5 linked regions of the Kluyveromyces lactis genome follow. Each later gene encodes a partner of the first gene's protein in a complex. Links are inferred from orthologs where the notes say so. Each region holds a gene or a part of one and is shown in the gene's direction. Other genes may lie near its edges.

Region 1 (4,654 bases):
CAAGAACACTGACGATTATTATCGAGCAGTTGTTGACCAGGTTAATATAGTACACTGGGTTGAAATCATGAAAACACTTAGGAAAGAGTTTATAAGAATTGCACAGGATCTCAGAAATGTCAAGCTAAATGAAAACGTTAGTGTGATAAAAGGGTCTCTTCCTTCTGTCATAAAGTCTAATTTGTTGGAGACAATTAATCTGGCAACTACTTTGGTGACCGATCCCTTCAAACAAAATGATCTACGGCACACGACTACACATGCCATCATCGTTACTGCTGGTTCAGGTTTATACGATGTTGACTATGATCTACTAAAAATTACCACTCAAAAATTAATGTCTCTAGAGATTACAATGGACCTCATTTGTCTATCACGTCCACCGCTTCATATAGTTCCGTTGTTACGTTATAGAGACTACAAAGACCAATTACATTATTGCACGCCAACCTGGTTAAGTATATCCTTCTGGAATGATTCTTCCAGAGCTAATGTTGAATGGCGACCCAGATGTAAAATATACAACGTTTTAATGATGGGATTAACTGAAACTGAACTAAAAGAGGAAATTGCCTTACAATCCATAAAAATAAACGACAAATGCAACTCTGTATCAGATTTTATGGAATCTTACGATTCTGCTGCTTTCGAAGTTCAGAGTGGCCCTTACTCAATGCATATGGATGCTGCTCTTGCTGCGGAGTTCCGCTCTTCTAAAGAGAGTAAGAATGATTGGAATAGACGTACAGTATCGAAGTCCAAGGGGAATACTAACCACATTGATACTATCACATGGATGAAACCAAAATCCACTAATGCTGTCCTTCAACCAGCTTTCAAAGAGAAGGTGTTCGCTCAGCTATCTTCATCTCCGAACTCTAATTTACCACGAACTGAATTTGAATACAAGAACCAAATGACGGCGACGAATTCTTTGGCATTAAATACTTTAAAAAGATTAAGTCATGCAAATTCCGGTGTGACACAGAAGATAATCTCTAAACTATTCCCAGATTTGGCGATTAAAAAGAGTCAATCGTCCCTCCGCCAAAAAGCTAATATACAACCTACTGATTTGACTGGTTCTTCATCATCTTTGAGTGATACAGGATCTCAGTATAAAAGGTCCCCAAATCCAAAGCTTTTGCACAAGCAGAAACAATTGTTCGATGATAACAAAAAAGAAGCTTCATGCGGAACATCTATACTGAGTTCACAGTCTTCTGGTAACCAAAGAGTACAAGATAAAAATTTCTTACTAAGTGAGACTTCTCTCAAGACATCCAAACCAAATAACAAGCCTAAAAATGGAATAAAAGGTGATAGTTGGATTGAAATAGAAAATCCATCCGTTCCTGTTGACGCAGAACTTGCTAGCTACCTCATTCCCAACCGTTGGAAGGATGTTTTCCCGAAATATGTTGCCAAGAAGTACACCAAGTGGCGGTCTTTTACAACCCCAGCAGAACTTCCGTTGACCACAAGCATGTTCCCAACACCATTCGATTTTGAGCACCAATTTTCCTTGAGAAATCACACTGTTTCCTTGAATATTGAACAGGAAGGATATCAGCAAAGTGTGTTTGACCTATTACAAAATATGATTTACGTGAGATTGTTGGCAGGCTTTCAATTTTGCTTGGGAAAGAACGTAACAAGAGTAGAGAAGGCCAGAGATAAAGATACAGACGGATCTAGGATTACACATTTAATCAATAAAGAGAATTATAGGGATGTTAGCATTTATTTGAGAATTGATAACGAAATTCACCGAATTGTCTGTTTTGACGAGACTATTGATGTTCAAAAATATATAAAACATGACGATTCTAAACTGTTGCAGAGTTTTGCAAAATACACACCTTATGTTAAAACAAGGTACGAGGTAGAATATAGAGAGTTGGATTTGGATCCAGTGAAAACTAGAAGGGAAAGCTATAATTGGAATCAGATTGATCAAGTCCTAGCAGGTTTTAATGATACTATCATGGATCCAGCTACGCAGAAACGATTCAGATGCAAATTCGTTATTCTTCCGGCGGAGATCCCACCCAACACATTTCAATCAACAATTAATGGCAGGAAAGAGACTTTGACTGCAGAAGAAATCAGGTTAGAAGGTTTAAGGAAGATCATTTCTTCCATTTCGAGATCCAGATTGAGAACTGAACATGAGAAAAAAGACAAAAGGTCACATAAGGAAGAAATTCTGCCCGAAGTACTTTTCTATACTGGCTACCTCTTTGACTTCATAGAAGAACACAATGATTTTCTAAAGAATTCGGGAGCTGCTGTTAAGAATTCAATTTTCATGGAAGATGCTGAAACTTTGTCTAAAGATGCTGATCTAACGAAAATAGCTTACGAACTCCAACATGGTGTATATCAAATCAAATTAGTCAACAGAAAATGGCATTGGAAACGGCATGAAAACTGTTTCATCGGACTTGAATTGGTAAACTGGTTGATAGAACATTTCTCCGACGTTCATACGAGGGAAGATGCTGTGGTGTATGGACAAGAATTAATGAATAAAGGTCTTTTCCATCACGTTGAGAGTAGGCACGGTTTTCTAGATGGGCATTATTTTTATCAGTTAAATCCCGAATTTACCACAGAAAACAAAACTCTTTATAAGACTTCCACAAAGCATAGCAATGAAAGTCATTTGATGAGAAAGATTTCGACAAGTAATAAATCCGAGTCTGCAAAATCTATAGACCCCACGATTTCTGTTGAGAGTAATCAACAATCAGAAGACCAAATAACCAAACCTGAAGAACATAGTATTACCGTGTTACTAAGTAATGCAGTCACTGTGGATTTGGATCCAAGTAGAAAGTCGTATAAACTTGAAACCTGCATAGCTCATTATGACAGAGTGCATAATCCAGATCATTGCTTCCACATCCGTTTGGAATGGTTAACAGCCACTCCAAAGCTAATTGACGACTTGATTAGCAACTGGTCAAGGTTGGCAGAAAGATATGGGTTGAAACTAGTTGAAATTCCGTGGGATGAACTTTGTAACATACCGAAAATCAACCCCTTCCATTCGTTTATGAACATCAAGCTGGCTATAAACCCATGGCAAGATTTGGAATTCAAAGACGAGACTATTTTCCGTGAACAAAAATTTTTCTACCACATCTATCTCTTGGAAAAGTCAGGTTTCCTTCTTGACAACAGAGCTTCGAAATTCTTCCAATCGGAGAAAACAAACAGCTATCAAATCATATATTCGTGGGGGAAGCCGATGTTCAAATATGCACAATATATCCATTATACTGGATCATGTATGGCTGAAATTAGAGAAAGTGGAGATTTCTTTTTGGCTCCGAACAACCTTCACATTTCTAGAATGAACACTGGTAATATAGGTAGTAAGGCATCATCGCATCTTAAATTCACTTCAGATGCCCAAAAGATCATGTTGAATTTTAGGAAAACCTGTGAAAATTACGAATCGCTAAGAGATATCTTCTTAGAGGCTAAAGAAAAGCATATCGATAATAGGGTTGATTTGGACGAGTATACTTCGTTCCAGTCATTTAATCTATATACGTAGTTTTGTATATTCAAAAGACTTACAATCTTTCTGCAATCTTGATAACGTCAGCCAAGACACCTGCAGCAGTGACGTCGGCACCTGCACCTGCACCTTGAACGACCAATGGGTTGGTATAACGTTCAGTTTGGATTGAAATGACATTGTCAGATCCCTTCAATGAAGCGAATGGATGAGAGTAATCGTACTTTTCAATACCAACAGAAACGACATTTGAAGGGAAGTCAACCTTTCCGACAAATCTTAAAACTTTGTTTTCCTTAGCGGCTTCTTCTTTCAATTGCTTGAGTTCATGGTCGTAGTCTGGTAGCTTTTGCAAGAATTCATCGGATGATTTGACAGATTCAAGGGCAGATGGAATTAAAGATTGCACAGGGAAAGAAGTTGGAGATTCAACCTTAAATCCAGCAATTCTTGCCAAAATAGTGACCTTTCTTGCGACATCTAAACCATTCAAATCATCTCTTGGATCAGGTTCTGTGTACCCCAGTTCCTTTGCTACTTTAACAACGCTAGAGAAACCGACATCGTTTGGAGTAGAAGTAGAAAATTCGTTGAAGATGTAAGATAAGGTACCAGAGAAGATACCTTCGATTTTCACAACTTTGTCACCGGTTTGGATCATGTCTCTCAACGGACCAATGATTGGCAAGCCAGCACCAACAGTTGCTTCGTGGTAAACTAAACCATTAGATGGTTTAGCAGAAAAGATGTTGTTCCATAATTCCAAGTTCGAAGAAAATGCCTTCTTGTTTGGAGTGGCAATTGAAATACCGCTTTCAATGAACTTTGGGTAAAAGTTGGCAATCTCTTCATTGGAGGTATTATCGACCAAAATGGTTGGCAGTGGGGATTTTTGCAAGAATTCAAAAATTTCAGGGACAGAAATTGGGTTACCTGCTTCAGCATTAACAGTTTCCTCCCAAGAAGAAGCGTCTAGCTTCAATGGAGAGTAATCTTTAGAAACTAGGGCATTAGAGTATTTAGCAACCAAAATCACATTGTAAGTAATTTGGGATTTGATAGAAAGCAGTTGCTTCAAGAAAGATGAACCGACGACACCAGTACCTGTGGATGGTTAGTAAA
Region 2 (6,460 bases), on another chromosome or scaffold:
GGAATTGTTGAAAGATCAGAATCAAGACAGGCTTTGAAGAGGTTTGCCGAAAGCGGCGGTATCGTCCTACATCTTCACCGTGATATCGAAGAGACAATCGTTTTCCTAAAGAGCGACCCAACTAGACCAGCTTACATTGAAGAAATTCGCGATGTGTGGGAAAGAAGAGAAAAGTGGTACCATGAATGTTCGAACTTTACCTTCTTTGCGGCTCATTGCTCCAATGAAATTGAATTCAGGAATTTAAGACATGTGTTCAGCAACTTCATTCGTCGTGTACTTGGCGCTGAAAAGATTCCTGTACCTTCCAGGAGATCAGCTTTCGTCTGTTTGACTTTCGAAGACCTATCGGATCATTTGTCAAAATTGGATGAAATAACCTATGGTTGTGAAGCAGTAGAACTAAGAGTTGATCATTTATCATCCTTTTCTTCAGACTTTGTCACCAAACAAATCTCCTTGTTAAGAGCTGCAACCAAATCGCTACCTATTGTTTTCACTGTGAGAACAGTTAGCCAAGGAGGGAAATTCCAAGATGATGATTATGATTTACTTGAATCATTGTTGAAGGTCGCTCTGAAGAACGCTGTTGAATACATCGATTTAGAGTTGACATTGCCTAACAACATACTCTACAATGTTTTGAACAAGAAATCAAACACAAAGATTATTGGCTCCCATCATGATTTTGCAGCTAAATTCCCATGGGATGATGCTGAATGGGAAAATAGATATAACCAAGCTCTTTCTTTAGACGTGGACATTGTGAAGTTCGTTGGCACAGCAGTAAGCTTCGATGACAATTTGGCTTTGGAAAAATTCAGGTCCACTCATACTTTGAAGCCACTAATTGCTATCAATATGACTGAAACAGGTAAGCTATCCAGGGTGCTAAATAATATTTTGACACCTGTTACCTCCAAGTTACTACCATCCGCCGCTGCCCCTGGTCAATTGACACTAGCTGAAATCAACCAATTGTATCACCAAATCGGTGGATTACCAGCCAAGAAGTTCTTTGTTATTGGTTCTCCAATTGGACATTCCAGATCTCCGATCTTGCACAACACTGGGTATGAGCTACTAGGCTTACCTCATCATTTTGATAAATTCGAAACTGAAGATATCGAAGTAGTTAAGAAAGAACTTTTGACCAGAGAAGATCTCGGTGGCTTAGCTGTAACCATCCCATTAAAACTAGATATTATTGATAGTATGTTTGAATTGAGCGAAGCCGCAAAGACCATTGGCGCTGTAAACACTGTTATTCCTTTAGGAAAGAACAAATTCAGGGGTGACAATACTGATTGGTTAGGTATCAAAAACTCTTTGGTTTCAAATGGTGTTCCTAGTTCTGTTAGTGGTTCTGCAGGTCTGATTATCGGTGCTGGTGGTACTTCAAGAGCTGCTATATACGCTTTGAAACAAATTGGTTGTGACACCATTTATATGCTCAACAGAACCACGGAGAAACTACAAAAGCTGAAATCCGAATTTTCCGAAGAATATAAGATTGTTGTCGTCGAATCTGCCGAACAAACAGAGTCAATTAAGGAACAAGTTTCTGTTGCTGTTTCTTGTGTTCCAGCTGATAAGCCTTTAGATCCAGAGTTACTAAACAAATTGGAAAGACTTTTGGCAAAAGGTACAAATAGCTCCTTCAAACCAACCTTGTTAGATGCCGCATATAAGCCTTCAGTGACCCCTATCATGAAGCTCGCACGTGATAAGTTCAACTGGAATATCGTTCCGGGCGCTGAAATGTTGGTTCATCAAGGTGTGGAACAATTTTCTAAATGGACAGGTGCAAAACCACCATTTAAAGCTATCTTTGATGCAGTTACCCAAGAATAGATAAAACATTAGATACATTTAAACTTCAAATAACGTCACGAATGATTAATAATAGCTTTCTAACTCCCCTTTTTATGTATGTCTAATCCACTATTTGTTAATATTCCTTAAAGCATTATTAACTGTTGATAGGAAAAAATGAATCATGAATATATAATGAAACAAAGCACAATTCAATAGGAAACATCATTCGTATATTGAATTCTAGTAAGGTTCGTGTTTTTTAGAGGTTTCGATATAAGCCACACTTTGAGATTGAATGTCTGAATACGTAGGGGAAGGTCCTTACTCATCACCAACCTTCGGGAAATCACTTTCTCTTCGGGTTGATGGTGGATTTAATGCTGTTTCTATCAATCCATCTGGTAGAGATGTCGTATTAGCCAGTCGAAAGGGCCTTTATGTGGTAGACTTGGATGATCCTTTCTCAGAGCCTCGATGGTTACACCATCTCACGTCTTGGGAGGTTGCTGACGTGCAGTGGTGCCCGCATCCGGCCAAGCATCACTGGGTTATATCTACGTCGAATCAAAAAGCAATTGTATGGAATCTATCTAGAAGCTCTTCTAAAGCAGTGGAGCATGTATTACATGGCCATTTCAGAGCCATTACAGATATAAATTTCCACCCGTTGCAACCAGAAATCCTAGCTACTAGTTCAATTGATACTTACGCCCTGGCTTGGGATATGAGAAGCCCCAAGAAGCCTTATTTTAGAACCAGTAACTGGAGATCTGGTGCTGCACAAGTCAAATGGAATCACAAAAATTCCAATGTATTAGCAACCTCGCACTCGAATATCGTGTATGTTTGGGATGTAAGAAAGGGTACATCTCCGTTATCTGTATTAGAAGGTCATAGCGGAAGCGTTAATAGCATCGACTTCAATCCATTCAACGAAACCGAAATCATGTCAAGTGGGAATGACGGAACGGTAAAGTTCTGGGATTATAATAAAGTTGAAGATGAACTACAGATGACAATTACCACAGAGTTTCCTGTGTGGAGAGGACGATATCTCCCGTTTGGGGACGGATATTGCATCATGCCGATGATAGGAGGAAATAATTCTGTATATTTGGCGAACTCTTTTCATGACTCAGGCAATTCTGAGTCAAGGACTACCAAACTACAGCCAACGTACGTTTTCAAGGGGCATACAGATAGAGTCACGGACTTCTTATGGAGATCGAGGCACAGTCAAAATACCATCATTGATGACAGAGAATTCCAATTGGTTACTTGGTCCAAAGATTGCGATTTAAGACTATGGCCAGTACCCGATATGGTTTACGACAAAGTTCACTACGAATGTGGCAAAGAGCTGCCGGAGAAGCTACCAGATTATGATTACGACACTTTTAGATCAGAACCTGAAAATAATATAGTAGATCCCCGGTACACAAATATAGAAATTCCGAAGGAAACCTTTGTTACAAAATCCGGACTACGCCAATGGAAAGCTGACAACAATATAGATCAACTACAATGGATTTCGGGTGTGAGAATGCATAACGAAGATTCACCGCATGATCTATTTGAAGAGGTGAGTTTAAACAATCTTGGAGAAGAAGTCACTTCCGTTGGGCACAAGTTCCCTAGAATTGTTTTTGAAAAAATTTCGGTTTCGACAGGAGAGTTAATTATTACTTTAAATGGTCCATGGGTGGAAGAAGATCCAGAAAAATACATTTTCATGCGTATTATTATTAACTTCCCGCCAAACTACCCCATGAAAGGAAATGAACCTGCGTTCAAGATTGAAGAGAACAGGGAATTAAAAGAACATCAAAAAACTCAGATAATGGAACGACTAAGAGAAATCAGCAAAAAATATGTCGATGCAAATCGATATTGCCTTGAGCCGTGTTTACAGTACCTACTTGGAGAAGAAGTTAACTTGGATATTTCCGACATGGAGGACGACAATAAAATTTTCAGCTTTGATTTCGAAGATGTAACTTCTTTAGATAGATCATCTTTGGGTTCATCTGATGATCATAGCGATGCTCCTACAGAGATTTCTTCTGTATCAGATGTTGAATTCGCTGTCGGGGATGGTTCTTTGCAATTGTATTCTAGTACACCAGAACCAAAATTTGATAGCACACCTGTCCCCAACGGTTGTGGAGCAGTTTGGACCGCTCAAGGAACCCTTGTTTGCTTCTTTAGAGCTGAGAATAAAACTGAAAAAAAGCAACACGCCATAATCAATGTTGGTAGAACTGGTATTGGAGGTTTTGTGAGATCAAAAAATGTCCAGAGTGCGTCACAAACTTTGAAGGATAACGTATCGGGAAAACAAAGAAAGCCAAAAACTTATAGAGAAGCGCTATCCATAAACTCACAACATGCCAGTGAATCACTAAATCAATCATCAGATTCGGATTCAGATGATAGTGATGATAGCTATGCTGAGTTCTTGGATGATATATTGAAAAATGATCTCACACTAAGGACTAGGATGCCAATGATGCCACGCATATTCCGTGATGAGACGAAATCTACTACGAGTGTATCCGGAAAAACCACCGATTCAAATAAAAAAAGCAAGTCATCTATAGTCGTTCAAGATTTTAAAAGTTTGATTCCCGACAAAAAAGAGCTAGCTGAACAGTATATTTTATTTCGGGAAACTCCTGAATTTGTTGCGAAGTACAATGCAGGCATTGCGGAAAGTTACGGCTATGAAGATATCGCGCAATGCTGGAGAATGATTTCTAATGTTTTAATAGGAAGAGGAGATAACGATTTCTACAATTATGATTGGGACCAGCATTCATTGGGTGGTAAACTTTTAGTGAAAAGACTATTCGAGTATTTTGAGAAGTGCCAAAATCTTCAAATGCTTGCAATGATGAGCTGCATCTTTGCTACGCTTGGAAGGCCAGATCAGAAAACAAATTATAAACTAGTTCCGCCTACTTTATCAGAAAACATCATTACATTTTATAACAATGAATACGAGCCATCGCCACATGTTCATTCCACTCACGGATCGTTCTACTCTAATGACACAGGTACACAAAATGCGAGAATGAGATATGGCACCAATCAAGCCTCATTGAACGATGGCTCTTCTATCATATCTGATGATTATTTCCATCAAAATCATCATGCTAACGGAAACAAGAACGGGAAATCCCATAATAATATGAACAATGGGTATGTAGAAACTGAAGCGACAATTCCCGATATCAAGATCAAACTAATTCATGACGATGTTTTGGATCTTGCCTACCAAGGTCTGGAACCTTCGTTGGTAGATCCGAAATGTGAAACCAAGTTCAGACAATATAGAACGCAATATGCAGAGATACTTTATATATGGGGGTTGCCTATGGATAGGGCCGAGTTGTTGAAGTTTAATGTAAATTTAAACACAGAACCTGAATACTTGCATGGGATCGAACAAGATTCGGGATTGGATATTTACAAAGGTGTATCGAATAGGTGGATTGAATCTAACCACGGACACACTCAACAAAACTGTAGCTACTGTGGCCTCAAAGCCGGTAGATTGGTGTTCGTATGCGGTAATTGTCAGCACGTGACTCACAGGACTTGCGCAGAAAAATGGTGGAAAATTGGCGATGAGTGCCCCTCTGGGTGTAGTTGCGACTGTATAAAGAACTTCGATGTCAGCGAACCACTTATATAAAATGCATCTTATGTAGCAGTGTCTTATCGTTCATCTTCTTTTAACCATCAGTCGTTGATACACCTTCTTTCCTGGGTTTTAATGATATTTAAACGAGATGATAAACCTTCCGGAATTCTGAAAGAACTAGAAAACCAAATAGATGGTGATGATGATGCGACACAAGCGAAAAATTCCAGGCTACAGGAACCGTTCCCGTCCATTAGCACTGATTTACGTATACTAGTAGCTATTGAGTACCAATAATTTCAAAACCAGCATGTCTTCGTCAAAGGTAGCAGTGGTCACTGGTACAAACAGTAATTTAGGTTTGAATATCGTATATCGGTTGATTGAGAGAAGCGAGCCAGAGGACAACCTCACGATAGTTGTGACATCAAGAACATTACCTAGGGTTCGTGAATGCATTGATTTAATTAAGGCTTTTGTCAATACCATTAATAGGACTGGCTCTGTAGATTATGATTACCTGCTGGTTGATTTTACCAACATGATCAGCATTCTTGATGCCCACTACAGCTTGTCAAAAAGATACGATCACATCAATTACTTCTTTGTGAATGCAGCTCAAGGAGTTTACTCAGGGATTGACTGGTTGGGTGCAGTGAAAGAGGTCTTCTCCAGTCCACTGGAGGCCGTCACAAACCCAACATATAAAATTCAACGAGTGGGAGTCAAATCAAAGGACGGGATGGGGCTTGTGTTCCAGGCAAACGTGTTTGGACCATATTATCTAATTCAAAAACTGCTTCCGTTACTCCAGGCTGGACAAGGTACTGTCGTTTGGGTCTCTAGTATCATGTCCGCTCCTAAATATTTGTCTTTACAAGATATTCAGCTATTGGAATCCGATGTTTCTTATGAAGGTTCAAAAAGATTAGTTGATTTGTTACATTCTGCAACATATAAAGAGATGAAAAAGCTCGGAATCCGCCAATATCTCAC
Region 3 (6,554 bases), on another chromosome or scaffold:
CACTGAAAAAGATCCGCAGCTGCCTGTCTTCTTCACTTTTCTCCGAGTGATATGCTTCATCCAGGCTGCCACTTTTCTGTTCATATCTTCTTCAAAATGATAGGAATCCAGATACTCTCTTGTGGGGTGCCTTTTACCTGTGATATTCGATAGCAAAAAATGGGAAGCTCACAGAGTCAGGCTATTTCCACGTTAGTGGATGTCGCAGCCAGTGGGTCCTTCTTTCACTTGAAGGCTACCAATAATAGACCTTCAATAGTCACTATACGGTCTGTATGGTCTGTACGGGTGTATATGGCACGATCAATATCGTACCATATTCTGTCCTGCTCTGTTCTGGTAGTCTGCGTAAACTCTGCCAATTATGTTCTTCTATATCCAGTTCTGTCGCATGTCGGCTAGATTATTTGTCCTAAGTTTCGAATGGCTGGCTGTTCCTTGGCTTCTAATCCCCATATAGAATTTAATCGGTCAAGATGGAACCGAGCAGTTCCGATTGATCAGACCGTATCGATGCAACAACAGGTGATGTTGAATTCTGAATTCTGTCAAAGAATCACAATCTATCTCGATTTCCCTTCTTTCTTTTTTTTCAGCTTAGTTTAGATATGGGCATCGAGGTTCCCCTAAATTTTGTTTGCCAGCTAGACATAGCACTGGATTCTTATACTGTCTAAAGCTCACCACGGGCCTGGAGAAACCGTTAAAGGATGCCCCCACAAAGTTATAGGGTAGAACTATGAAAGTGATGGGGTTAGGTTTTTGAAAAGAAATGAAATTAGAACTTATATAAGGGGATGGATTTTAGTATATTTTCCAATTCTCTTGTTGAGATCGTAATAATTGTCGTTCTTCCAATCACATTTAGTTACATAAATCACCATCAGCTATCATACTGAATAACAAGCAATCAAGCTAAAAAGAATATCAATATTAATTAAAAAATGTCCATTCCTGAAACTCAAAAGGGTGTTATCTTTTACGAAAACGGTGGTGAATTGCAATACAAGGACATTCCAGTTCCAAAGCCAAAGGCCAACGAACTTTTGATCAACGTCAAGTACTCCGGTGTCTGTCACACCGATTTGCACGCATGGAAGGGTGACTGGCCTTTGCCAACCAAATTGCCATTAGTTGGTGGTCACGAAGGTGCTGGTGTCGTTGTTGCTATGGGTGAAAATGTCAAGGGCTGGAACATTGGTGACTTTGCTGGTATCAAATGGTTGAACGGTTCTTGTATGTCCTGTGAATACTGTGAATTGTCCAATGAATCCAACTGTCCCGATGCTGACTTGTCTGGTTACACCCACGATGGTTCTTTCCAACAATATGCTACCGCTGATGCCGTTCAAGCTGCTAGAATTCCAAAGGGTACCGATTTGGCTGAAGTTGCTCCAATTCTATGTGCCGGTGTTACCGTTTACAAGGCTCTAAAATCTGCTGACTTGAAGGCCGGTGACTGGGTTGCCATTTCCGGTGCCTGTGGTGGTCTAGGTTCTTTGGCTATCCAATACGCCAAGGCTATGGGTTACAGAGTCTTGGGTATTGATACCGGTGCTGAAAAGGCTAAGTTGTTCAAGGAGCTAGGTGGTGAATACTTCGTCGATTATGCCGTCTCTAAGGATTTGATTAAAGAAATTGTTGACGCTACTAACGGTGGTGCCCACGGTGTCATTAACGTCTCTGTCTCCGAATTTGCTATAGAACAATCCACCAATTACGTTAGATCAAACGGTACCGTTGTATTGGTCGGTCTACCAAGGGACGCCAAATGTAAGTCTGATGTCTTTACACAAGTTGTCAAATCGGTCTCCATTGTTGGTTCTTACGTCGGTAACAGAGCTGACACCAGAGAAGCTCTAGATTTCTTCGCAAGAGGTTTAGTGCATGCTCCAATTAAGATAGTCGGATTATCTGAATTGGCAGATGTTTATGACAAGATGGTCAAGGGTGAAATCGTTGGTAGATACGTTGTCGACACCTCAAAATAATTTTACTTCAATATGGTTCGATAATGAATCCGGTTTTCTTCTCTCGCTCTGAATCCCTTCATACATAATTGATTTCAATAGCACTATATTTTACGTTTAATGAAACTTTCAAGAATAATAGTAGTAACATCAGGACCTTTTGAGATGTTCTAGTATCGATTACGCGATCCTACTTTCTTAGCAGACAATATTTTAATCTCTGTTTGTTCTTATCTAATTTTGAAAGTTAAAACTGCAGGAACATACACCACACGACAAATTAAAAGCCCTCAAATACATTCAGCAACGTTTGAGTTTTACTGTTCCAAAAACTTAAGCATATACGACACCCCGATATTAACAAACCAAAGGAGATTTCGTAGTGTCTACTTGTGCTGTCTCTCCAGTCATATATAGTTTCCCTTATTATTATAGAAATATCTACACATGAAAAATATGAAAATACGATAGTCATTTTACTTGATTAACTGATAAAACACCTAATATACAAAAGTACTGGGGTATAACTGCTAATTCGAAAGAATCTTTCCCTCAATCTAAGAGTTCAGCAGTCTATGAAGCTCCAAGAGATAGGAATAGCTCAATGTCCACGAATTTACCGAATTCCTGCTTAGTACAAATCGCATTAACTGTTTCAACTCATTCGGGTCCACAATTAATTTATCATTATCCACCAAGCAACTATGCTACTGCGACCAATTCGAAGAAGACGCATCACCCAGATATCAAGAAAAGATACGAGTATACGGACTCTGAAAACAATTCGTCTTCAGATGACTACTCTTCAGGTTTGAGTGATAGCGAGTTGTCGACTGACTATGCAGATTGTTCATCTGATGCATCAGAATCATCGTTAGACTCCCTTCCACAATCAAATCATGAGGATACTGTAAACAGCAGTACAAACAATACATTTATCAATAATGGTCTACGATCTCGTCAATCTCAGATTAGTGCGAATAAACTCTTTCAAGTGCTAAATCAGAATAATAACAATGTTGCAATCAATGGCGAAAACTCGTTGAGGGAATCGTTGCACTCGATTAGAACATCGACTAATATGTCTAGTACGACTGATCCGAGACCAGAAGATGAATTGGATGCAGTAGATGAAGAGTTGAAAATCTTGGTAGACGATTTGCTAGATGGTTCAATATTTCAGCAGGATACATTTCAGGATATCTCAAAAGTACTAAATTTCAATACAGAATTTGTAGCTGAACTCTGTTCTCCAAGAAAGGAGATGTGTAACACCAGATTTGAATTCACTGTGGATGACTTATGTTTCTTAGGGTTGCCAATTCACGCGGATCACAAAGGAAGATGGAAGAAATCAAAGAAGAGAAAGCAAGCTTCCAAACGTTCGGCTAGAAGTAGCACTGCACGAAACAGTATTAGTAGAAATAGTGTTGGTCGAAATAGTATTGGTCGAAACAGATCTAAAACAGAGAGTCAAGGACACATTAATGATGTTGAAGAACCTGCAGATGATGAGAATAGTGATTATGAACCATCCAAATCAGAAATGCTTAATGAAATGTACTGTGTGCCTGATGCGGAAAATGATGAATTCGAAAGTTTGCAGCAGAGTATAAACATGTTCCAGGTCTGCTTCATCATGAACCCAAAGATCATAGAATATAATGAAAGAGTCGATGATATGTATCATTACGTGGTGACTAGATTATCATTGATTTTAAGGTACATACAAGGAAAAACCGGTTATGTCACTAGGGAATGCGTGAAAATTATGAAGTGTAAGGACGAAGTTTCTAAACACTCTCGATATTATGAGTCTTTAAAATCTCCCTGGTCTAAAGGAAAATATATGTATGAAAGAATTCTTTACGAATCGTCACTAGCTAGAGCGTTAACAAAATGTTTCAATTGCATCCATAACAATGAAATTGCTAATCTTGAAATTGATGGTGATAAAATTGTTTCCTTGCAGATTCCAATCAAAAATGAATTTTCCATTCTTCCAAATTTAAAAGAAGATGCTGTTCTTCGTGGATCTTTCTTATCCTCAATACTAAACGAAAGTTTTATTGGTAGAAGCACTAGCTTGACAAACGAAGATTCAGATAATTTGTATGCCAACCACGACAGGCTTCTAGATTATGGATTGCTTTTGCTCGATGAACCTGAAAATATTATAAAAGGGCTTGAAAACGCTTCCTTTGATAACGGCGTTACTGATTTACTTTTGATCAACCTTGTAAGACAGTTGAAGCCCACTATAAGGCTTGGTCAATATAAATTATTAATTAAAGAGCTAATCGATTCTAATGATTCCTCATATGATGATCAATTCTGTGAAACTACTTTAAAGTCGTTATGTCTACATTTAATATACTGGCGTCACGCCCGTTTGATACTGCCAATATCATCGAGAAACACATATATAGTTTCTCCATTGGCGCCAATCTCAGGATTTTCAACTGATGACTTCAAACATGGCGAATACGACACCTTAATAAGACAACAAGAAGTTCCTGTGAATAACAACGATGAACCGTCGTTGATATACCAAAACAAGAAGGTATTCAATGAAAAATTTCCCTCCTTACCTTCTTTGCCATCGTTCCTTCAACTTATGTCAACCCAGAAACCCAGACCTTTCGGGCATATCATACCATCCAATGAACATAAATCTATGTATTTGAATGCCCTGGCATGGCTCATGAGGTACGGATACCTCACTCAATTATTGACGTTTGTGTATGTACGTGTGGACAAGCGCATTAAAATAGCTGTCGATGAGGATCTAGAAAAGGATAACTTAAGATCGAACAAACACGAAAAGTCCGGTAATTTTGTTACTGGAGGTGAAAATTATAACTCCAGTGAGTTTGATGATTTGGAGATGATCAACGATAATGATTTCACTATAATTCTTGAACCAGAACGTAATACTGCATTAGAAAAGAGATGGTTGTACAAATGTGCTGAGGCATTACCTACTGATCTTCAAACGCTATTTAGACAAGTGGTGAAATACTTTAATGGGAAGGTTTCTTTGGAGTACATTATGATTAAGGAAGGTATTCCTAAAAATGAGATAAAAAGATTGCTTCAGGCCTTAGGTAAGTACATCGTTGAAGTAAAACACTGGTAAATGCCCTATCCCCTTACATTGTTATTCTTCTAATCGATTCTACGCACAGGATTTTGTCAATGCATAATAATTAAGTACTATATAATAAGCCATTTTTGGAGTTGCATAACTTTATGTCATAACTAATCAATTCACTGTGTTTTATATTTTTTGTTTTGCATGTTGTAACCATAACAGTTTGTAATTCCGGAGAAGCTCGAACAGAAAACATATCTATATATATATGCCATGCATGTAAAGTTTAAGATGATATCTTAAGTTTATTTATCTAAAAGAGAAGGACATGTACAAATGAAACGCCACTGGGGAACATATTATAAGACGGTGCCGAGTATATGCCCTGTGGTTGACTAAAAAGAAGGTGAAAAAGAGTTAATCACTAGGAGGGCCTAAGATAGTGCAATGATTACGCTAAAAAAAAGTAGAAAGAAAATGACATATTCAATAGTCGAGGTCTGCTTTATCATGTCCAGAGACAGAATTATCCAAATAGTTCATACCGCCAGGGTGTTCGTGTGGGAATGGATTAGTAAATGTCGGTGTAGGAGGTGGCATAGGGAAGTAATAAAAGAATGGGGAATGTTGAGAAGGTGGACACTGTCCCGTCAAGTGAGCGCCCGGCTGAATCAAGTGAGAGGGCGGAGGGCCAACGGGGCTACCAGAAGGTGGACAGTACTCCATTGGGTAGTACACTGGCGGGCCGTAGTAGAAATTTGGATCCATCCTACCATGCCTTGGTGCATCTACATTTCTTCGCTTCTTGTAACTATGATTCTTTTGATAAGAACCAGTGTTATGCGCATTGTTATGTTTGAACGTTCCAGTGCCTGCGCTGAAAGTTGTGAATGATGAGTTGGACTCGTGTTCTAAGAAATGTGTGTCCTCTGCATCATTGTCTTCATCGACTTCATATTCATCATCTTCTTCTTCAATTGTGCTATTTTCGATATCGTCTTTTGACCTATTGAAGTGGGTACTATGCATTTGCTGAGGACCTTCTAGATAAGCATTTTCTTTTTCAACTCCATTGTCTGTTTTGTTGGGATAATTTTTGCTTTCTGTGCCATAAACATACTGGTTACCATTTTCATTATAAAAACCTTGTGAACCAGTATTGCCAACGAAAACATGATTATGGTTGTGGTAGGATGATGAGCCTGAGTTTATAGTATTTCTCCTTGGTTCTTGTATCGTAGCATACACATAATGAGATGGCAGATTTGGTTGTAAATGATTTGGTAATGGATACATGTATTTTGAAAAAGACCCTGTACTTGCTCTCCTTCCTATATTCAAAGGCGGAGGTGCCAAGTTCAACTGAGGCCCCTGGAATGACTTATTGGAATCAATTGAACTACGCCTTGAATTAGATACCTCTCTGATCTGCACATGCAGTATTTTCTCCACGAATATTGAATGATTCTCTCTTTCCAACGCTTTTGCAG
Region 4 (6,562 bases), on another chromosome or scaffold:
ATAGAGCTCTTCGGCAGCCTAATGATCTTGATACAGAAGACTTCATAACACCAATATGATCGACGTTTAGGAAACTCTAGCATCTGTACGAGGTTTCTCTGAAATGAAACTTTTTTTTATTGTGTCAGTTGTAATGTATGAAATGTGACGCAAGTCGGCATACAAAAAAAAAAATTCATGATACCAAAAGGAAATAATCCTCGATAAAGTGAGGTTGAATGTGGGAATTCGAGTTAGAAACTCTAGATGTGAAATCTCTATTGGAACTCAGTATTTATGACTTTTGGAAACTTTTCAATGTACGAAAATTTTGTATAAATACAGGACAAAGTACACTGTCTTGAACACTTGAAACTTGAATAACGTATTCTCGTCTTCAAGAATGATCAAAGGTCTCATTTAGAAACGCCTAATAAGTTTAAACTTACAAAATCACCCAGTGTCGATAACAAAACTTCAAGGATCTAGCTGTCATACATCAACAATTGAAATGTCCTTAGATACAGAATCATTTGAAACTGCTGAAAAAGCAATTGAGGTAGTCACAAAGGAAATGGTATCTTTGACAAATTACTCAGCCATTGGATCATTAACCAGTCAGTTATCTCAGAATGACACTAAGTCAGGTGGAATTGAACAGAAAAAGTTACCGTTGAAACCAATATTATTGTGTCTGGCTACTTCTTTTGCAGGGTTTATCTTTGGCTGGGATGTTGGCACAATTGGTGGGATTACAAACATGGTATCATTTCAAAACTTTTTTGGTACCAACTTTGATTCTTCGAGTAATACACACTACTTTCCAAAACTTCTTATTGGATTAATCGTTTCCATTTTCAATATCAGTTGCGCACTTGGTGGATTATTTCTAGTGAAGATTGCTGATATTAATGGAAGAAAACCAGGTATTTATGCTGCAATCACTATCTATTCGTTGGGAACATTGATTGGCTGGACATGTGGCTCCTCTTGGTGGTATTTCTTCTTCGCAAGGTTCATTTCAGGACTTGGTGTTGGTGCTACTGCGGTGATGATACCAATGTTTATAGCCGAATCTGCTCCCATCAACATTCGTGGTGCCATGGTTGTGCTCTACCAGTTAATGATCACTCTTGGAATTTTGCTCGGAAATGTCATCAACTATTGTTGCAGATCCACTTTACACGAAACAGATAATGCCACATGGAAGATCCCTGTAGGATTAGGAAACGTCTGGGCCGCTATCGTCGCGCTAGGTGTTCATTTTATGCCTGAATCACCAGTTTTTCTTACCAAGAGGTTAGGAAGCGCTCTCAAAGCTAAGGCAGCTTTTGCCCATATGAACAATTTGGACGTAGATGATCCAATTGTGGATAGTCATATTAGGAAGATGATGGAATCAGCTGACGCGGAGGTATCTACTCACAATGATATGAAGAACAGCAGGTTTGAATTCATACTCGGTCAACCAAGATTAGGTTTTAGACTATTTATTGGTATTATGGTGATGGCGTTTCAACAGCTATCCGGTGCAAATTACTTCTTCTATTATGGTACAACACTTTTCAACTCTGTGGGAATTGAAGACCCATACTTAACGTCGATTTTATTGTCTTCTGTCAACTTCATATCTACCTTTTTCGGTATTTATTTAGTTGAAAAGTTAGGCAGAAAAGCATGCTTAATTCTTGGTTCCGCGGGTATGTTTACCTGTATGTCCGTGTATGCGTCAGTCGGATCGTTCGCACTTAATAAGTCGCCTCAAAACTCTGGTGCGATTATGGTTACCTTCACGTGTGTTTACATCATGTTCTTTGCATGCACATCGGGACCTGTGTCCTTTGTCGTCATTTCGGAGTTGTTTCCAAGCAGGACAAAAGCGATATCCATGGCAGTGTGTACCTCAATCAATTGGCTTTGCAACTTCTTCATTTCTTTATGCACACCATATGTCACTGATAAGATAGGCTTCAAGTTTGGGTTCGTTTTTGCTGGTTGTCTATTTGTCTCATTCTGGTTCTTCACTTTCTTATTGAAGGAAACTAAGAACAAAACTCCTGAACAGGTTGACGCATTGTATTCTATTGACAAGCAATAGGCAATGGACCATACAGGTATACTTCTACAAACAAAGAAATTTACAATGAGCTCAACTGTTCACATAATCTACTGAAGCCTCCCGATTTCTCTGTTCGAGTGTGCGCTTGAATCGCTCTCCTTCATATAATTTCACTGTGTAAAACCTATTAACTTTCTCATTACGTATCATTTTACAAGTGTCTCAATGGCATTAAATTTGTAATTATTTCAGAAGAATTTTAATAACAAGGCATTTCTGTCTCCCAGCCCTGTGATATCTTAATACTTCTATTTACTCTTGTGTTGTTTTATCGGGCTCTCACTTATCAATCACCGAAGATGATTCCTGATTCCTCATATATTTACTCAACAAGAAAAAAAGGAAGAGATGGCAATATGTAATTGAAAATATGAAAGCACTCACATACTATGATTCAAAAATCCAGCAATTGGTTGTAAGCCAAATAAACCGGTGATCGAGAGCACTGAGTATTGTTGCTCAACGATGTTTAAAAGAGGTTCAAACAGAGCTACTTCGTCTTCTCAAGGGCAGCAACCAGAAAATCCTCCCTCTCTGAAATATCAGTCGTCAAGTTCACGATACTCTTTTCATCGACAGTACAACACAGGTTTTGGAACTTCACCTTTTAGGATATCACCTAAGTATAAACCAGATAGCCGCACTCCCTTCAGTTTTGATGGTACGGGAAATGTTGGACCAGAGAGCTCTCTTAATGAAGAAGAATCAAATGCAAGATGGAGACCTTCTGAAAGTTCATTTGACAAACGTAGAACTTTCCACGGCGCTAAATACTCTCTGAGTATCGGAAAGGAAGTCTCAAGTATAGATAAAATCAATTCACCGGAGAGCAGATCCTTGATAATAGCAGGAAAAAGCCATTTAGGTATTTACACTTTCGATGAAGATTCTAAGACGATAACTAATGTACATGATTTCTTACAGACAGCGAAGACAAATACTGGGATCACGAAGAACACTTCATCGACACTACGGAGAACAACAAAAAAAATTTCAACCATATCTGATGTTAAAGCTGGCTTTTACAATCACAAAAACTATGTAGCAATTTGTGGTACTTCAACGTCTGTTGCGATTTACGATATTAATAAGACATCAGCGATAGACAATCCAGTTGTAACATCTCTCTCAGAACATACAAGATCTATCAATAGTGTGGATTTCAATATGGTGCAGACAAGCTTATTAATTAGCGGTGGACAAGATGGATGCATAAAGATTTGGGATTTGAGATCTCCTAAAATCTCCACCACTAGGAGTGATGTAAGTATCAACACCGGGTCTGATTCCATTAGAGACGTAAAATGGATGCCTTCTTACGAGTTTTCTAATGATACCAATGGTCTTTCAAACAGACATTTCAAATTTGCCAGTGTGCATGACTCTGGATTATTATTGAAGTTTGATTTGAGACAACCAAACCAAGCTGAAAAAAAGATTAATGCACATTCTGGTCCCGCCTTATGTTTGAATTGGCATCCGCATCAGGACTACATTATTAGTGGTGGAAGAGACGGAAAATGTTGCTTGTGGTATGTAGGCGACAAATCTAATCAAGTTGGTAACATTAGTAGTACCAACCTCAATTCAAGTAATCCAGCAACGCATAATTTATCATCATCATACCCCTTGGGGCTATCCAACACCCTTGCATTTCCTGAGCTCACAATAAATACCGCTCGTTCCATGAATAAACTTAAGTTTCGTCCAAAATATGAGACGAATGTATTCAATTCATTGATTGGGACTTCATCCATGGGCGAAGATTCGGATGTATCTGTTTATTCGCTAGCAAGAAAATATATTCCTAAAAACGTTATTGCTTCCAGTGCACCTTCTGTTGGTTTTGTCTGGTGGGATGACGACACGATATTCAATATAGACAAGCAAAATACCGTTACTGGGTGGGATATCTCTCATGAACCGACTGTACTTGATAATTTGCCGAAAAACACAATAAAATGGAGAGATTTGGATGGCGATGGTATTCTGTTTTTGGACCAAAAACCAGGTGGGTATTTGTCTCAAGAAGAGACAGTTTTGACACCAGGTAGTGGAGAGAATCGCAAGATGCCTTTCACACACAGAATGAGTAGTGCAACTGCTAACAGTTTTACTGGAGGAAATAATCCTAACATTACAAGCAACACAAGTAGCAGTGCCGCAAGTTTCTCAAAAAACCCGACACTTGGCATGTCTCAACTTCACCAGGGCAACGTATTAGGTGAAAGGTCAACTATGTCAAAGCATGCACAATCCGTTAACAGCAAATTTTCGCCTTCGGTTAACAGCTCGCCGTGGACCAATCCGTATTCGTCCCCTCATCATAACTCAATCGTGTCAGGATCGGAATCGGCATTACATGCGGTTAATGATTCCTTTCTACAATCTCCATATTTGATAGGATTAGACTTTCCGCATATTTTGAACACAATACGGAACACTAGGCTCGCAGAATTTAACAGAAAGGTCGAAAGTGCAGCTTTATTAGAATTAAAGTCATCTCCAACTGAAGTTTTCAAGTTTTTAGCACGGGAATTGAAGTTTTCGTATAAATATAACAGTATTGAAACAAAAGACAACGGCCGAGAGCTTGATTCATCGAGCACACATGGCTCAGTGGATTCTAAAACGAATTTGATGGAAAAGTTGGGGTTATCTGAAAATAATACTTGGACTCATTTGATCAAATATACGAAATCTCACGACTCTGACGAAGTCATATCGAAAGGCACAGAGCTTAAAACACCAGTTTCTGACAAAAGTGCTAATATCGAAAAATCAGCTACGAATCATAAAGCTGAAACCAATCAGGATGAGAACAGTTCCTGCATCAACTCTTCAAACCAGGTAAAAACCAAAAACCTCATCGAACTGATAACTCTATGTGATAAGAACGCTGAAATTTATATCATGCTTGAGGACTTTTCAAACTACAAAATTTGGCTTCTAATGCGGGATTCATTATTATGGGACTTGAAAGTCCTAACCGAGTCAATGGCTGTTGACGTGACAGCTGACCAAGAAGTCAACGATCAATCGTCCATTGACCAACCTTGGAAAAAAAATGACAGTTTTACTAGCTTGAAAGAGGCAAGGCAAGCATCTGTTGCTAGTGGCTACAGTTCATATAGTGCTACGGATCTGAGCTCCTCGGTAAATACAAATAATAGACATTCTTTCAACGAACCCACTCATCTAACCCAAACTCCTCCAGTATCACATTTAAAGGCTCAACTTCAAGGTTCAAAAGAAACTACGACTATATCGAGGGCTGACTCGATTCAAAATTCGTTACAGAACGATATCATCGAAATTAGAAAGCTGCGTCAATCTCATGGAGATAGAGCAGAACTAGCAATTGATGAAGAGGAAGAAGGAGAAGAAAGAGAGGAACTTACAAAAAGGGCGTTCGAAGAAGATGAAAACAATAAACAATTCATTAATATCCCAAGAAGGGAATCAGGGCCTAGCGCTCTCATGCCGAGTCCTTCTCATGTTTCCTCACAAAGCGAAATTCCTTCAAATCCGGAAAACCATCACCAGCCACGTCGGCCGCGGACATCTTTTATAGACTCCTTCATGTCACAATTACGTTCTCCAGGATCGTCAAATGTTGATGCTGATAGGGAAAGTACTGGTAGCAAAAAATCTTCCATGCCAAGCTTTAGCTCTTCGGCTGCCACATTTTTGAATAGCAAGAAATCGCAAAACGCGAATCATAATAAATTGAAAAGCGCAACTGAAGTATCAGATATATTGGAATCTGAATTTGCTACTCAAAAATCATGGAACGGGAGCGTTGCAAAAACTACAACTCAAATGTCTGGTATTACTGCTCTTATGAATGAAACTAAAAAACTGGAAAATACTATTACCCCACCTTGGTCATCAAGGCGATTAATTCATCAATTATACGAACAGAGTGTTGCTTCAGGAAATATCCTACTAACGATGGCAATTTTGTTATTATTTCAAGATATGTTTCAACTTGTTGATACAGAGACAGTTAAGAATTCTATAGCGGAATTTACCGAATTATTGCACCGGTACGAGCTATTTGAGATTGCAGCGGAGTTGATGAAAAACTGTCCTTACGAGGATATTTCTAGTTCAAGTGCTGGCTTTTCCTCCATTCAGTTATTCTGTGATAAATGCAATAAACCTTTAGTTAACGAATCTTCCAAGGAGAAAATAATCAAAGAAAGACTTGAAGGAAATTCAAGTGCTATGTCCAGGTTTGGATACTGGTACTGCGATTCATGTTCTAAGCGCAATACTCTCTGTTGCTTCTGCAATAAACCAATGAAGAGCTTGGCTATTTCTATGCTTAACTGTGGGCATGAGGGTCACTTCGAGTGTTTGAAAAAATGGTTTTTTGACGAAAACATGGATGTATGCCCATTGGGATGCCCAGCAATCTTATTCTGAAGTCAATTTCCTGTTAATTCGGATCTTTTCTAT
Region 5 (6,410 bases), on another chromosome or scaffold:
TAAACAGTTGGTAAAATACGGATACAGATCTCATGCAGATCGTACTTGCGGATTAGATCAAAAGTCATACTGTAAGAAGACTGATCTATTGATGAAGCATAGCAATGAGTTTTTTGCTGATGTTTCGCCATACCAGGTTAATTTTAAGGTAGAGTATGATATGGATGAGCAAGATGACTTATTCCTTCGGCACTTAAATACGGCACTGACAAATTCTAAGCATAAGTTATCACACGAAGTTTTCGAAATAGTTATTACGATATTAGAGAACGAAGCTTTCCATTTAGAGAAGAAAATTCCACCAAGAGTATCACCTAGTGCTACTAATAATACGCATGAATCTCATGCTGCCTGGAAGCATCATGAGTTATACGGATCAGACGACGGTACTGGATACCCAATGGATCAACCGTGTGCAGTATGTGGAGGCATAGAATGTGATAATTCGAATGCGATAGTATTTTGCGATGGTTGCGATATCGCCGTACATCAGGAATGCTATGGTGTAGTTTTCATTCCAGAAGGTCAGTGGCTTTGCCGAAGATGCATGATATCCAAAAATAGAAAGCTCGAGTGTCTCTTTTGTCCCAGTACCACTGGAGCTTTCAAACAAACGGATAACGGATCGTGGGGCCATGTGTTATGTGGAATTTGGATACCAGAGCTTTATTTCGGAAATCTACACTATATGGAGCCGATTGGAGGAATAGAGAATATCCCGAAAAGTCGATGGAAGCTCACATGTTATATTTGCAAACAAGAGGTCGGTGCTTGCATCCAATGCTCGAATAAGAACTGTTTTGCAGCGTATCACACTACGTGCGCTAAAAGAGCTGGATTATACATGAACTTCAATGGATGTACAGTTCAAGAGGCTGCCTCAAAAAACTTTTCCACAGGTGCTTTCCTGGAAAGTTTTTGTCACAAACATTCTCCTAACGGCTGGAGTAGCTGTGAAGACGGAATTCGTAAAACTAGGGATTATTTTAATCACATTAATCATCACAAGGTGCTACAAGACAGTGCCGTGGAAGAAAACAAGCAATCTGCCAAGAAAACCATTAAGAATAAATGGAAAACCAGTAGGGGAACTTTAATTGCACCTCAAGCCTTCGCAGATATTACAATGAGAGTTTTAAACAGATTTCATGTTCCAAATTCCGAGCAAATTTCGTTGGATATATGCAAGTACTGGACAATGAAAAGAGAACTCAAAAGAGGCGCTCCTTTGGTAAGAAAGTTCAGCCCATCTTCTTTGAATACTCTAGATACCGAAGAGCTAAATGACAGAATCGTATTCTCAGAAGTTCTTTTGAGAGACCTCAATTCATTGGAAGGTCTTGCATCATCTTTGGTGGCTAAACAAGAATGTAATGTTGAAAGGGTAAGAAACCAAAGGATCATAAACGACATTGCGTTCCATCCGATAAGGTATATATTGAAGGATGTTGTGTGGAACAATCTCACAAAGACTTTATCTTTTAAATCTTTTGCAGACCTCGAATCATCTTCAAATTTCAAGGTCATACCTTACATTAGCTCCAGGCTTGAAAATGATGAATACTTATCTGTCCAAGAATTCAAGGATGAATTTGTTGGAAATATAGTGAAAATAACATCCAATGAGAGGTCACCGAGATCACTGGTAATAATGGGATCTAAGCTCATCAACGATCTTAACAAACTTTTATCTAAGATTGATGAGTTAGATGTACATACTTTATTACATGACGATTTCGATATAGATGAGAGAACACATCAAGTAGAAGAGGTTAATTGGAAGGGCCGGAAAATACTTGCACGCGAAGGACTAGCTGATGTTGAAGATTTATCGATCAAACAGGAAAGACAATTGAAAGGACTACTACGTGACTGAATTATCCATCAAGTTTTCGTTCACTCAGTACTTAACTCTCCTGTTCCTATGTACATATATCCGGGTAATAAAACTATATACGGTAAATTATTTCAAGATAACTTCAGAATGAGTGATAAGATGCATCAAATAATATTACGGTATTCAATGTAGTAAAGCATCTGTCGAGGCCAATCCACCAGTATTACTTCATGGGCTTGATTAAACGCGTTCCTTGTTGGCCAAATGTGGAAGGGTTGGATTTTTTGTCTGTTAATCCTACAAGAGATGAAGTTTCTCATTACCGAGTGAAGCTGGATGTGGAGACAGACGAGTCCATCGTTAAGGTGAATACAGTAAAGGACTTTGGAAATATAACATGTCTAGATTACTCTAATACAGATGAAGGTATAGTAGGTGTCGGTGAGAAAAGCGGTGTTGTACGGTTATTTAATATTTTGGATACGGACGATGCATACGAGCCGTTCGATCTACGAGTACGAGCAAAGCACCAGCGAACTATCAACAGTTTGAGTATAAATACAAATGGCCTAATAGCCATGGGTTTAGATCGCAATAAGCATGATGCCTCTGTACAGGTGTGGGATGTAAACTACCAAAGCACGGAATCAAATGTTATCACACCATCTTTTTCATATTGTTTGAACGAAAGTATCGTGTCATTGAAATTTGTCGACGATACCAGCATCTTAGCTGCAAGTTCAAAACTCTTGAAAGAAATTGACCTTAGAGCTCCTAATCCTATATACCAGCATCCAACTCGTGTCTCATATGACATCAAGATAAATCCTTTTAACCCTTGGCAATTCTCAACATATGCTGACGATGGTACGTTGGCCTTTTGGGATAGAAGAAAGCTAGCAAGTAACTCTGAAGACACTGAGTTTTTGGAGGCACAACCATTACTTAAATTTGACAAACTTGTTGGTCATGGTGCAGCTTCTAGAAAATATATGAATTCATGTTTCAGATGGTCTCCATTGAGAAGTGGAGAGTTTTCGACATTACACGCAGGCACTACAATTAAACGCTGGAGATTGGCCAACGTACCAGATTTAGAGTCGAATAACGAACTAAATGATTCCTTGTTCGTTTCCACGGTGAATGACATTAAAACGACTTTTGATCGTGTTGTTACCTTCGATTATATACCCAAGAGTACTGGCAGAACAAGTCTTCTATGCATGAGACAATCCGGAACTATCTATCGGATGAATGTCGAACAAGGATTTTCACAATCGAAAATCAATAACTACAATAGCATAATGTCTATCTCAGATCAAAACAATGATGTCAACGAATTGAGAATAACAGGTGAGGATGAAGTTTCATTGCTGGAAAATTTAGATACCGGGCTAAAAAACTTGTCTTTCGAAGACCTGGATACAGGAGATGACTTGAAGATATTAACTCTGGATGAAAAAAAATCATCCGGAAGTATGGAAGATGACGGCGATTACTTGAGTGATTCTGAAGACGTTAAAGAGTTTTACATCGAGGCAGAGAAGCTGTTACAGAATGATATAAGTTTTATAATGCGTAAACGCGCGAGTCTGGGATATGGTCTTGATCCAATGAAAACTGTCGAAATGATGGATAAATCCGATAACTTCAATAACAATATCTACATTCGCAATACTTGGAGATGGATGGCGATAGCGAAGGCATCCATAGCTGACGGAACAATGGTTTCAGGAGACTTAGATTTAGGCTACGAAGGCGTTTTAGGGATATGGAATGGTCTTGAAGGTCTCTCCAATCAGAATCGTTATAGATCTGGAGGAATGCTCACAGAAAAGCAGTTAAACAAGGAATTGGAGAAGATCATTAAGATGAGAAGCAAGAGTAAAAACAAAATTGGGAATGTTTCCAGTTTAAATTCCGAAATGTCATCAAAAAAGGCCATTCAGAGAAGACTCTGTATGATTATTAGTGGCTGGGATTTGTCTCCTTCAGATTACGAAGAAAAATATAAATCACTAATAGCTCAAAATCACTATGAGAAAGCTGCTGCCTGGGCTGTCTTCTTCGGTGACGTTCAGAAAGCTATATCTATTTTGGGATCTGCAAATAAAGAACGTCTTAGACTCATTGCTGCGGCCATTGCAGGTTATCAAGCTTATAGTGAAAAGCCAGGTGACAATGCATGGAGACAGCAATGTAGAAAAATGGCTGCTGAGCTTGATGATCCCTATTTGAGAGTCATTTTTGCATTCATTGCAGACAATGATTGGTGGGATATCCTGTATGAGAGCGCTATCTCTCTAAGGGAAAGGCTTGGTGTTGCTCTTAGATTTCTAAATGACACAGATCTAACCAGATTTTTAGAAAAAACTGCTACTACTGTTATTGAAAATGGTGAACTAGAAGGATTGATCTTGACTGGTATAACGCCTAATGGTATTGATCTTCTACAATCGTACGTTGGAAAGACTAGTGATATTCAAACTGCTGCACTAATTTCAGTTTTCGGCTCCCCAAGATACTTCATGGACCCAAGAGTTGATGAATGGGTTGAAACATATCGCCATATGTTAAATTCCTGGGAATTTTTCACTATGAGGGCCAAGTTCGATGTGCTCAAGACAAAATTATCTAGGACTAGTGATGGTCGAATTACAGCGAAGTTAAAACCTCGTCAAATGTATTTACAATGTTCCAAATGTAAGAAGAATATCAACAGACCCATTGATGTGTCTTCTAATGCATCCCTACCAAGACATGCTAATCAAAACTTAAATGCAGGAAAGAAATTCGGCCTCAATAATACAAACGGTGATGTCCCCCAACAGAAACATTCATGTCCACATTGTGGCACGCCTTTCCCAAGATGTGCTATTTGTCTCTTGCCATTGGGTACTTCAAATCTCCCCATAGTCATCAATGGCACCACCAACTCATGTGAAGTACGAATCGATGACGACGCGAAAATTAACGAGGTCAAGGAAAGAAAGCGTTTGAAAATGAACGAATGGTTCAGTTTCTGTCTCAAGTGTAATCATGGTATGCATGCCGGTCATGCAGAGGAATGGTTTGAAAGACATTCAATTTGTCCTGTTCCTGGGTGTTCGTGTTTATGCCATCAATGAAACACTCTACCAATATTTCGGACCTAAACGCTCTAGGATAAATCATTAAACTTGTTATTCAGCGTATATAATCTCTTTAATCCTTAACCTCGCCAAAAACTCATTTCTCCCACTATTAGTACATACAAATATCTCATATGCAGATATCAAGCGGCTGAACGTTGCTTTCAGAATGAATCATTACGCATCCACAAAATAATGATACTAGCAACGCAGTACCATACTTGGAAAACTTCCCCGAGCATATTCATCGAGTTATAGGATGGACCGTGGTTCAGCGATGGAACTTAAAGCCATCTTTTCCATCATTGCCCACCGTCATTCGCATGAGCGCAAGCCTCTTCACGTGACTAGTTAAGATTCCCCGATCAGTTGAAATGCGTGAGCTCTATTTCAGGAAATCATGTGGCGAAACTAAGAAAATAAAAAGTTTGATCTATCCAGATACAAACAAATATATGGTTTTTTTTGATCTCAACAATATCTTTAAGGATACCAAAAACTAAAGGAAAGAACGACTATAAACAACGGTTTATTAAGTCAGTTTAGTTGGGACTTTTTTTTTCGTTGAATATTTCTCTTACAAACATTTTTTTCTCAGTGGTTTGGGATCTTAAAATATTGGTATTCTGGGCGAACACAGCTTGAAATTGTTTCAGATCAGATCCTGTCAAAGTGGTGCGTTGATTCTATTTCATGAACTTATAAGGCACCAACTAGCCATCTAACGTATGAACACTCTGAACTGAGCATAAAAAGATATTACTATTGTATGAAACTATGGATGAAGATCGTAAACACACTGCATTCCCTGTTGAACAGGACATCTACAAAAAGATCGAAAGGGAAAGAAACATTATACTGGGTTCGAATCAATTGAAGAAAAAGACTGATAATGTCATGGTCATACAGAAATGCAACACCAATATTAGAGAGGCTCAACAAAATATAGAGTACTTGGAACAAATTCTAGCTAAGTTGAGAGTCAGTCAACAGCCAGACAATACTCCTACCAGCCAGAATGCTAGCAATCATCCCGGTTTTGGTCAGCTATCTACAATATCACCAGATGAGTTTAGATACTCTAGACTAGATCTGGTAAAGTACGATTGTCCATCTTTGTCGCAAAGAATTCAATACATGCTCCAGCAGTTGGAGTTCAAATTGCAAGTTGAAAAGCAATATCAAGAGGCTAATGATAAGTTAACTAAACTCTACCAAATTGATGGAGACCAGCGGAGTAGCAGTGCTGCACAAGGTGGATCTGTTGAATCTAAACACAGGATTCAGCTCTTAACAAAATCATTGAAAAAATATCAGGCCATCAACGTTGATATCGATCCTTTCAATGATCACACAGAAGAAGCAACTCAACCAAAGTTTAGGAGAAAACAACTATCAGGTACTCTGACTATCGGTGTTACTGCAATTAGAGATGTTGATCA

Evidence for each region.
Region 2: the proteins of IML1 (region 1) and MTC5 are in contact, whole or in part, in a cryo-EM structure (PDB 8ADL), measured with the Saccharomyces cerevisiae proteins. The link is inferred for Kluyveromyces lactis from reciprocal best matches to the Saccharomyces cerevisiae genes IML1 and MTC5. Residues at the interface, in NP_012672.1 of Saccharomyces cerevisiae: Phe292, Gln298, Asp336, Met379, Glu380, Arg382, Lys383, Leu386, Asn387, Tyr394, Ser395, Val396, Ala397, Gln526, Met527, Met528, Gly529, Ile530, Thr531, Asn533, Glu534; in NP_010413.3 of Saccharomyces cerevisiae: His64, Pro67, Trp68, Asn90, Gln91, Lys92, Ile94, Asn104, Ala105, Ile106, Val109, His111, Ser114, Arg115, Asp136, Tyr138, Arg149, Ser153, Thr154, Trp157, Arg158, Arg188, Lys189, Gly190, Ser191, Thr192.
Region 3: IML1 (region 1) and NPR3 share a complex: the UniProt entries of both Saccharomyces cerevisiae proteins name them as parts of the SEA complex. The link is inferred for Kluyveromyces lactis from reciprocal best matches to the Saccharomyces cerevisiae genes IML1 and NPR3.
Region 4: IML1 (region 1) and RTC1 share a complex: the UniProt entries of both Saccharomyces cerevisiae proteins name them as parts of the SEA complex. The link is inferred for Kluyveromyces lactis from reciprocal best matches to the Saccharomyces cerevisiae genes IML1 and RTC1.
Region 5: IML1 (region 1) and SEA4 share a complex: the UniProt entries of both Saccharomyces cerevisiae proteins name them as parts of the SEA complex. The link is inferred for Kluyveromyces lactis from reciprocal best matches to the Saccharomyces cerevisiae genes IML1 and SEA4.

What each region holds. Positions count from the first base shown.
Region 1 is NC_006038.1:351,109-355,762, reverse strand, and holds the end of IML1 (GTPase-activating protein IML1), read left to right. Parts: coding exon 1-3,568; downstream 3,569-4,654. Other genes in the region: HOM6 (homoserine dehydrogenase), read right to left, coding at 3,588-4,636. UniProt on the Saccharomyces cerevisiae protein: Component of the SEA complex which coats the vacuolar membrane and is involved in intracellular trafficking, autophagy, response to nitrogen starvation, and amino acid biogenesis.
Region 2 is NC_006042.1:1,824,715-1,831,174, forward strand, and holds MTC5 (Mtc5p), read left to right. Parts: upstream 1-2,113; coding exon 2,114-5,515; downstream 5,516-6,460. Other genes in the region: ARO1 (pentafunctional protein ARO1p), read left to right, coding at 1-1,854; ERG27 (3-keto-steroid reductase), read left to right, coding at 5,775-6,460. UniProt on the Saccharomyces cerevisiae protein: Component of the SEA complex which coats the vacuolar membrane and is involved in intracellular trafficking, autophagy, response to nitrogen starvation, and amino acid biogenesis. May be involved in telomere capping.
Region 3 is NC_006042.1:1,678,854-1,685,407, reverse strand, and holds NPR3 (Npr3p), read left to right. Parts: upstream 1-2,574; coding exon 2,575-5,109; downstream 5,110-6,554. Other genes in the region: KLLA0_F18260g (zinc-dependent alcohol dehydrogenase), read left to right, coding at 945-1,991; KLLA0_F18216g (uncharacterized protein), read right to left, coding at 5,551-6,554. UniProt on the Saccharomyces cerevisiae protein: Component of the SEA complex which coats the vacuolar membrane and is involved in intracellular trafficking, autophagy, response to nitrogen starvation, and amino acid biogenesis. Mediates inactivation of the TORC1 complex in response to amino acid starvation.
Region 4 is NC_006041.1:1,869,664-1,876,225, forward strand, and holds RTC1 (Rtc1p), read left to right. Parts: upstream 1-2,563; coding exon 2,564-6,529; downstream 6,530-6,562. Other genes in the region: KLLA0_E20945g (sugar porter family MFS transporter), read left to right, coding at 491-2,077; KLLA0_E20989g (uncharacterized protein), read right to left, coding at 6,559-6,562. UniProt on the Saccharomyces cerevisiae protein: Component of the SEA complex which coats the vacuolar membrane and is involved in intracellular trafficking, autophagy, response to nitrogen starvation, and amino acid biogenesis. May be involved in a process influencing telomere capping.
Region 5 is NC_006041.1:580,490-586,899, reverse strand, and holds SEA4 (Sea4p), read left to right. Parts: upstream 1-2,067; coding exon 2,068-4,965; downstream 4,966-6,410. Other genes in the region: NTO1 (Nto1p), read left to right, coding at 1-1,876; PKC1 (protein kinase C), read left to right, coding at 5,746-6,410. UniProt on the Saccharomyces cerevisiae protein: Component of the SEA complex which coats the vacuolar membrane and is involved in intracellular trafficking, autophagy, response to nitrogen starvation, and amino acid biogenesis.